Oryzias latipes: one gene and its partner. The protein of the gene in region 2 purifies or fractionates together with the protein of the main gene of each other region. This does not show direct contact. Links are inferred from orthologs where the notes say so. Each region holds a gene or a part of one and is shown on either strand. Other genes may lie near its edges. The genes, in order: bbs7 and lztfl1.

Region 1 (4,265 bases), on a different chromosome or scaffold from region 2:
TTCTCCACCAGAACGTTGTTTACTGAACTGCGGATTCTTCTGGAGCACTTTGTCATGAAGCCTGCCTGCCCTGCCTTCTTCAGGAGGATGTGCCTCAACAGCATCGCCTTCATCAGCCGGCTTGCCCCCACAGGGGTCTGATTATTACCAATTATGTTAGTTTATTCTTTTACTGTTGCTTTTTTCTGTCCTGGTTTGTTGTTTGCTGTGGAACTGGGCAGACGATGCCATCAGTGGAAGGAGCTTGTGTTTTGAGGATCACATTCAGTCTTTTTCTGTGTGACGGTGCAGTCAGAGATCAGCCTCCAATGCTCTGAAGTCCTTTGGGGAGGTTTTGATTTTCATCTTCTTGCTACAGACGGCAATGTCAAAATATCAGCTGTTCACTATTTATTCAAAGAAATGGTTTATTTTATAATAAAACATTAACAGTCTGAACTACTTGAGTATGTATGTATACATGATAAATCTTGTTTTTGTTTGTTTTAATGCTTGACTTCAAGTGATTTCCATTGATACAAAACATGCTTGGCTAATGTTTTTTAAAAAAAAAGCTTTTAGCTGAATAAAATTTGCTGTATTTTTTAGAATAATTGAACCCGCTCAACCGTTTGGTTTAGGATGCGTATTTAAAATGATTTTGACAAAGCATGCCATGTTTGTTTGAATGTTTTTTAGATGGAAAACTTGACCTCCTTTCATTTATGAACGTTCCTAGCTCTCCTCCGCAAGCCTACTTTTTTTAAACCTGTTAAATGTGCTTTTTGCCTACAGTCATGCCACATTTTTGTATAACAAAAATGAAGTTATCTCTTTAATAAATCAGAAGAAATATAAAGAAAATTCACGTTTTTGTTTGTGGTGATATTCCTTGGTCAGGGCTGCAAGTGACCATCGGCCCAGATCTAACGGATGAAAGAAAAACCCATTCCTGCTGTAAAATAGGCTTATTTTTTCCCACACAATACAACAATCTTTTAAGCTGGAACACATTTGGGTTATCCAAAATCAAAAAGGGAAAAGTCTTTTCTATCTACCCCCTTTTTTTATTTTTACAAAAGGAGATCCTAAAAGCGGATAATTTTTCTGTTTTTATTTGTGAAATTGATTAAAATCATTTTATTCCACATTTTCTAAGACTTTTGCAAACCAAATAATAAATAAAAACAACTCTTTTCAAAAATCCTACTGAAAACAGATTTACATTATTTCTGAACAAAGGCAATCAGATGTGTAACATACATGACAACATTAATTTTCTGGATTGTAAACCTTTTTACTCAAAGTTGCTGTTACGTTTATTTATTGTAAATTATAATGCCGGATTTGTATGAATAAAGTTTTTTTTTAAGCATTTGTCTAATTCGGACACAAGGCCACAGTCCCAGCAGCCAATCAGCTTTCAGATTCATCAATTTCCTTCTTAGCCTTTATCCAATTGGATCGTATTTTACAGACTGTAGCGTCGTTGCCATGGGCAACATCACCGAGGCTACACAGTTTATTTGGCAAAATCAATGTTACACGGTAACTCTTCTGCTCTGCATTCATATCCAAACCGTGTTGCTCAGCGCGTAACGGATGTCCACCTTTACATTCTTTTAAAAACGATGACGTCATCTTTAAAAAAAAGGACAGCTGGCCGTGAATTAATCGTGTTAGCCGATTAGCTTGCTAGCTAGCGTTAGCGCATCTGCATAATCCCCTGCTTTCAGATAATCTCAGTCCTAATTTGCACCGGTTTCGTCCTGTAATTTAACCTTATCTAGATTTTCTTTTACCAATTGTAAGCGAACATAATCATAGTCGGATATAAACAGCACCCCGTAATCTGGTCAAAACCAAAGAGTCGCCGGATTTTTCTGTTATTCCCCGACAAAGTGAGGACGAGGTGAAGGCTGAAGATGGAGATCCACCTTAACAGAGTCGATTATGTTCAGGTAACACGACACATTTAAATTGTATTTATTTGTACTTTTCGTCTTGTTATATTACTTTAATGTGGACGTCTGCATTTGGAGCTGGTGATAGTTGAAGTTAATTCAAACCATCACTGCTCCATCGTTCCCCTTCAGGTTGGAGTGACATCTCAAAAATCTATGAGACTTCTTCCAGCTTTGGGGAAAAAGGCAACTCAAAAGGTAGAGTTTGTGCCGTTCTTTTCTGTTCTTTTGGAGTCTCCTTACTAATCTCAAGAATCTCCTTTTCGTGCTTTAAGTTTTTTTTTTAATTGTTTGAACATTTTAAACTGAAGCAAGCTATAAAACAAGACATTCACAACAAAAGCAATAAGAAAATCATTTTGTTCAATTTCTTTCCAACTAAGTTGCATAAAAACATCAAGTTGAATGCAGAAAAACAGCTGTTTAAAGCCTGCATAGCCACAGCCCTCTGGTCTCCTTTGAGATGCTCTCTTCCGGTTGGAAAACAGTTTGCTGACTTTGATACAATTTTAGTAACATCTTCACTAATGATCTGCAATGTTCCCCAATGAAGGATTTTTGTGTTGCAGGTTGCCATTGCTGATCACGATGGGATTCTGACATGTTTTGGGATGAAGAAGGGGGAGGCAGTGGTGGGTTTAGGTTTTACTGACTCATCATTCACTTCTCCTGCTGTCAGTAAAGAGACTCTCATTTCAGCCTGTGTTTAAAACACTCCCGGGCCAGAAGATCTGTAGGATGGACCTTGGAGGTGCTCTTGGGACTCCTCGGGAGAAGATCTTTGTCTGCTCCGGCTCTCAGGTTCGAGGATTCACCAAGAAAGGCAAACAATTTCTCACCTTTGAAGCCAATCTTACTGAAAGCATCAACGCCATGTGAGACGCGCTCTAAAACTTCTCTCATCATTATTATTGTTTGCTCTAGTTGAGTGAGTTGTTCGGAGAAGTGATGGAGAATTGTGAGCTTTCCCCTTGAGTGGTGTTTGTCTTCCAGGTATGTCTCAGGTGCTGACCTTTTTGTGTGTGCAAGTTACATTTACAATCACTACTGTGACTGCAAGGATCAGGACTACTTCCTGTCTGGAGACAAAATCAATGATATCACTTGTGTGTCCTCGGAAAAGCTCCCTCACCTCACGCCGGTCTTGGCATGTCAAGATCGAGTTCTGAGAGTCTTGCAGGTCAGTTGAGCTTTTATTTCTTTATCTTTTCATTTCAGGAAGTGCATGACCTTCAGTCAGTTCCATATAGTTTACTTTCTATCATTTTATCTGCATGTGACTGAAGGGCTCCACACTTGCCTATGACATTGAAGTCCCCGGTCCTCCATCAGTCCTGGAACTGTACAATAAAGATGCAGGCTAGTCCATTTGTTTTTCAGCTGAGTATCCAAAGAATATTATGGCTTCGATCTGCTCTTTTTACACCAGCTTTGGCATTCCATCCATCTTTTCTCAGGGGAGGAGGTCCTTTATGGAACTACAGATGGAAGACTTGGACTTGTCCAGATTGGCGAGCACTCCGCTGTGGCCAAGTGGGAAATTGATAATGACAATAAAAAAGGGGGTAACTCGCTTTTGGATGATCAAATATTTTCAATCACGTTTTCATAGAAGCTGCTTGAGTATCAGACTCATTTCTAAGTGTAGTTCAGCAGCAAACGGCGTTTGTCTCCTGTCAGGGATTCTCTGCGCCGACGCGTACGACATCGTTGGAGACGGCGTGAATGACATCCTGGTGGGCAGAGATGATGGGACGGTGCAGGTTTATGGCTTTGACAGTTCCAATGAGCCCACCTTACGCTTTGAGCATGTAGGTTTCTATCAGGAGTCTTTGTTGTTTTATTCATCTTCCTTCATTCTAATTAACAGTTAATCTCTGTCAACAAATCCATTCTGCCAAAACTGCATCCTTTTGTTTTTAAACCTGAAGCTATTTCAATTCAGTTGTTCGCTTCCTTTCCTCCCTTTCAAGCAATCTTTGATTTAATATCTATTATCTATTATCCTAAGTTTGATACGTCTTTGTATGAATGCTTATTGTATTGTTTTGTGCATTATTCCTTGATTGCTTGAAATAAAGCATTTCAAATAAATAAAAAAAAACAAAAAAGTTACATTTATTTGCGAAACATAAATCCATAACTTTAGTTGTTGAGCAGGTTGTCAAAGCAAAATGATGAATTCATTTTAAATTTCTTATATTTGTCTTTAACAGAACTTTTGTTTGTAGTTGTTGTTTTGGTGTTTAAAAGTCCTGTTATTGTTTGAAAAAGCTATTTATCCTGATCAGCATTTCATGACCTGAGGGCTAAAGCGGAAAC
Region 2 (4,467 bases):
TTGTGTAAAATAACAATTAACATCTGCAAAAGAACCCCAACAAAGCTCCAGCTCATGTTACACAATCCTTACAATTTTATTTCAATTTGTTCTCAAAATTCACAGATTTTTCTTCCAAAGTGACTCACCTAAAATAAGACTAAAACCAAACCTTTGTTGTGATTTATAAATCGTTTTTAAGCAGAATCCAGGTCTGGGGCAAACTGATGCGTGATGTTCCTGCGTTTTTGTAGCTTCCCAGCGGCGACCGGTTTACCTGACAAAGAAAACGTCCCCTGAAGATCTGAATCTAAATGATATTACAGTGAGGACGGGAGCTACAACATAAAACGGGAAGAGTTAGATGCTTTTGCTCTGCATTTTTTTCACAAATGGAAACTTTCAAACGATTGCAACCAGCATTCCTGAACATTTTGAGATTTTACTAAATGTCAAAAGAATGAAAAGAGAGTTTTCAATCACACAAATCCTTGTTTTTTTGTTGTTGTTTTTTTACCCACAGACTCAGATAGCACAAAAGTTTTGATTGGGAATTTTAAAATCTAAAAAACTTTATTGCAAAATATTAGCTAATTTAGAATTTCTTGTCAGTCTTAAAATAGCAACTCCTAGTTTGGTCATTGAGGTTATGAACTTTTTGGGGGTTTTGGTTTCATTCCTGCCTGATCTAGACTTCCTGCTTCTGCATTATGGTCAGTTTTGATGCATTTTCTTCCTGAAATTTGGCTTGAAAAAAGCTGTTCTTGAAAACTTTCATGTTAATCCTCCTCCCCCCCCCCCCCTCCATAGCATGAGAAACACTGTGAAGGTCCAACAAGAATTCGGACTCATGGGACTACAAAATGGGACACGTCTTTGGCATTTTGGGGCTGGGATTTCTGGAAGCATTTCTTGATCATTTGAGAATGTCAGAAGTCAGAACTCTGACACTACACCTCCCAGCAACCCCAGCGTGCACTTCCTGGATGCCGCACACCTGACTCTCGTTCACTCAATCAATCACAGCATACTTAAGCACAGCACTGAGCTCAGTGTTAAGTATTGTCTGTGCAATGCCGTCCGTCCGTCCGTCCGTCCGTCCGTCCGTCCGTCCGTCCGTCCGTCCGTCCGTCCGTCCGTCCGTCCGTCCGTCCGTCCGTCCGTCCGTCCGTCCGTCCGTCCCACGCGGTTTGCTTGCCCCAACTCTCGTCTGGATCCTGACTGCCCTGTCTCTCCTCTGATGATCTCATGCCTTTTATTGGCTCCTGCCTACCTGACCCAGATTTAACTTTGTGGACTCTTAGCTGGGCTCATAAACCTGCTGCATTTGGATCCAACCGTCTGCCTGTTCTTGTGACAGTTGCTGACACAAGCTTAAGTTTCTTTTGTCGTTTATTTGTTACCCCATCTGAATTATTTTAAACCTGTATTGGACATGATATTAAAATACATGTTCAGTGTAAAATTTCTCAGTTTAAAGGTTTTTCAATGGATCTTTGTGCTGTTGTGAGCAAAATACTAGTTTGTGGTTTGAATGTCTTATAGTTTTCATTCTATTTAAACACTCAAATGTAAAAAAAAAAAAAAAAAAAAAAAAACCTCCCAGATTTTCTGGAGTTGGAGTTGCAGTACATATTGAAGCATCCTTTAGATTTTAAAAAATGAGAGTACAGCTTCTGTGTAGCTCACCTATTTTCCAGCTCAGAAATGTCAGTCTGGAGTCGAAGGTAAAACTTCTCAGCCTGTGAGAAGAGCTGCCTCAGCAGCAGCACGTTGGTATGAGCGGAGTTGATGAGCTCCACCTCCACCTCCCCGCGCACCACCACCTGCAGCCCGTCCAGCATCTCCTTCACCTCGTCCACTGTGAAGGTTTCTTCTACCAGCCTTCAGGGGGACAGAAGCATTTACAGCTGTTGAGCTCTGCGGCTTTAGGAGGAAGCAACTTGTGTCATCAGGGTCAGAAACGTCATCAAAGAATCGATTTATCAACAATTCAGTGTCTTAAATCTGTCTGAGGCAAGTTATGAATCTAATCGACCGTACATGTGATCATACTGTTAGCGTGGTAGAATGCTCTAATGTGTAAAATATCAGGGGGCTGAACTTTATGAAACTAAAATATGAATAGAATTGTTAACTTGTTTGTTTGAACACCAATTTAATTTACACTTGATTGTCTTGGAAGAAATACAAGGAATCTAGAAAAAATCACCTGCGCTGTTCAATACCCAGGTATTTATCTCAAAAGGCTAGAGATGTCCTAGAACGATTTTAAGGTCATCGAATCGGACCGTTCAAACGCAGATCTGAATCAAATCATTGCTAAAATGGATCAGAAACACTTTAGTCACCTGCTTTCTTTGAGGTCCTCGAAACAAGAGTCGATAGTCTTCAGCCTCAGGACCCTCTTAGAACGAGCAAACCTCATGTAATTGATCATTTCATTCTGATGGTGCTCATTAAATCCCAAGTCAGCCTGGAAAGAAAATCACAATCAATCAAAGTAATAAATATACTCCAATAAAGACACATCCGAAGGCAACAGATGTCATAACATTCATAATTAGCTTATAAGCTAACAAGAAGCGGATTTTCTCCTGTATCAGGGCCTGAGTCTCCCTGCTAGCTCTTCATTGAGATGCATGCTAACAGACAGTCAGTAGCTTCCCACTAAACTCCACATGATCGCAGCTCTAACATCGAAAGACGTTTGAGATTCTGGGCTTGAAAACGCAAACAGGTGGTCAACACTTACCATGGTGGCTGCAGCTAATGCTAACGTCAATACTAATCTAAACGATGGGGAAATTTTGATCCGAATTTGAGCTACGATGAAATCAAAGTGAAGCCAGGCGGGATAGAAAATGCAGTTGTTGTTTTTCTGTGTATTTGTTTTGGAAACAAGCTAAACAAAAGTTATACAAGAAGAAAAGATTATCTTCTAGATCTGTTAGCTTAGCTTTCTAGCTACCAGTGTTTGCCTTAAGAATGCCTTGGTAACGGAATACAGCGTCATCACCTTGGTTACGACTGATGCATTCACGGACAGTATGTGCAGAAGAGAGAATCAGCAAAGCAGCTACAAATTCCATCCGACCATTTTCTAGTCTGGTACAGGGTCACGGAGATTCATTCAGTCATACCCCAGCTACTTCTGGGTTAAGGTAAGGTTTTCCCCGGACTGTAATTGGAAAGAGTGCCCGGGGAAAAAAACGCATACACAAAGAAGACGCAAACCCCAAACACAGAAAACACACAACGGGGATTTGAAACTACAAAATCCCCACATACTTTATGTAAAAACAGCACGAATTTCTTCTTCTTACTTTAATTACTAAAAGGGCGAAACATGTTCTTCCATTATTACCGCTGAATGTCATTTCTTTTGAGTTCCTTTTTTGTGAATTTTGGTTTGTCCGCCCGTCTTTGAATGCGTCATTTTCACCAGGGGTTGGCTTAGAAAGGCGGGTTTCCCCTTTCAAAAATGTTTTTTATTGTACTGTATTTTTAAATAAATTATTAAATAAAAAGACAGGACAAAAAACACATCTCAAAAATATATTTAAGACAAAATTATTTACATTTACTTTGCAAAGGAAAAGATCAATAAGAAAGGTACAATGAATGAAGAATAACACACAACATTGATAGAAGTGTGGTTTCTGTAAGTAGCCCTAAACATTTACAGATGTGTGTTTTTAACCTTTAGGCTTTTTCAACTGAAGATTTTTTCCAAATATTTCTGAAGTTCCATTTTAAGTAAGTGTTCAGTCTTTTTTGCTTTTGTAATATTAAATTTTGTCCAAAATAAAAACGTATAATATATAGTCAACATTTTTACGTTGTTATTTATAAATATTAAAAACACACAACAAAAAATAAAGATGACATGGTTTCAAATTGATTCATTCATGTGTGTGCTATACAACAGCAGATGGCAGTGTGGCCCAAGAAAAACAAATTGTTTAAAACATGTTAGTTTTTGAAAAGACATGTCCAGGATTCATACAGTTTAAGCATTAAGACATTGAGAAACATTGAGTAATTCTCCAATATTCGTCCCAGCACCGCTCTTCCATTAAAGTTCCATTCATCTTGTTGATTTAGGAAAATTCCGATTACTTATGGCAACACTTTTCTGCATTTTGGTCTAGATTTAAGGATGTTTATTACTCCAATTCTTGCTTTCTAAGTTGAATACCTATTGAGACTCATTGCAGATTTGTGGGTTGAACCACTTAACATCATGTGAGTCAAATCAAGTCTTAACAGAGAACCTGTGAGGCAGCCTTCTCATCCTCGGTCTCTGCAGCCCCGAATCCTTTACGTTCTGTCCAGTTAGTGGAGAGTTCAAGCAGGAAAAGAGGAGGAAACTCTTCTTTTCCTCATTTTTCTGCAGCTGTAATTAAATTAGACTAACGGGCAGCGCATGTCTTATAACGTGATCTTAGGGCTCTGCTCCTCAAGTTCAGAGAACAACTTCAGTGA

The links.
Region 1: the proteins of lztfl1 (region 2) and bbs7 purify together in Homo sapiens (affinity purification with mass spectrometry; 3 studies listed by BioGRID and IntAct, counting the BioPlex papers as one, with this or other methods). This does not show direct contact. The link is inferred for Oryzias latipes from reciprocal best matches to the Homo sapiens genes LZTFL1 and BBS7.

The regions. Positions count from the first base shown.
Region 1 is NC_019868.2:200,930-205,194, forward strand, and holds the start of bbs7 (Bardet-Biedl syndrome 7 protein), read left to right. Parts: upstream 1-1,447; 5' UTR 1,448-1,904; coding exon 1,905-1,940; intron 1,941-2,075; coding exon 2,076-2,141; intron 2,142-2,512; coding exon 2,513-2,575; intron 2,576-2,642; coding exon 2,643-2,818; intron 2,819-2,936; coding exon 2,937-3,123; intron 3,124-3,229; coding exon 3,230-3,302; intron 3,303-3,400; coding exon 3,401-3,508; intron 3,509-3,623; coding exon 3,624-3,754; intron 3,755-4,265. Other genes in the region: tmem33 (transmembrane protein 33), read left to right, coding at 12-141.
Region 2 is NC_019878.2:21,516,010-21,520,476, reverse strand, and holds the start of lztfl1 (leucine zipper transcription factor-like protein 1), read right to left. Parts: upstream 2,992-4,467; 5' UTR 2,738-2,991; coding exon 2,735-2,737; intron 2,456-2,734; coding exon 2,331-2,455; intron 1,864-2,330; coding exon 1,669-1,863; intron 1-1,668. UniProt on the Homo sapiens protein: Regulates ciliary localization of the BBSome complex. Together with the BBSome complex, controls SMO ciliary trafficking and contributes to the sonic hedgehog (SHH) pathway regulation. May play a role in neurite outgrowth. May have tumor suppressor function.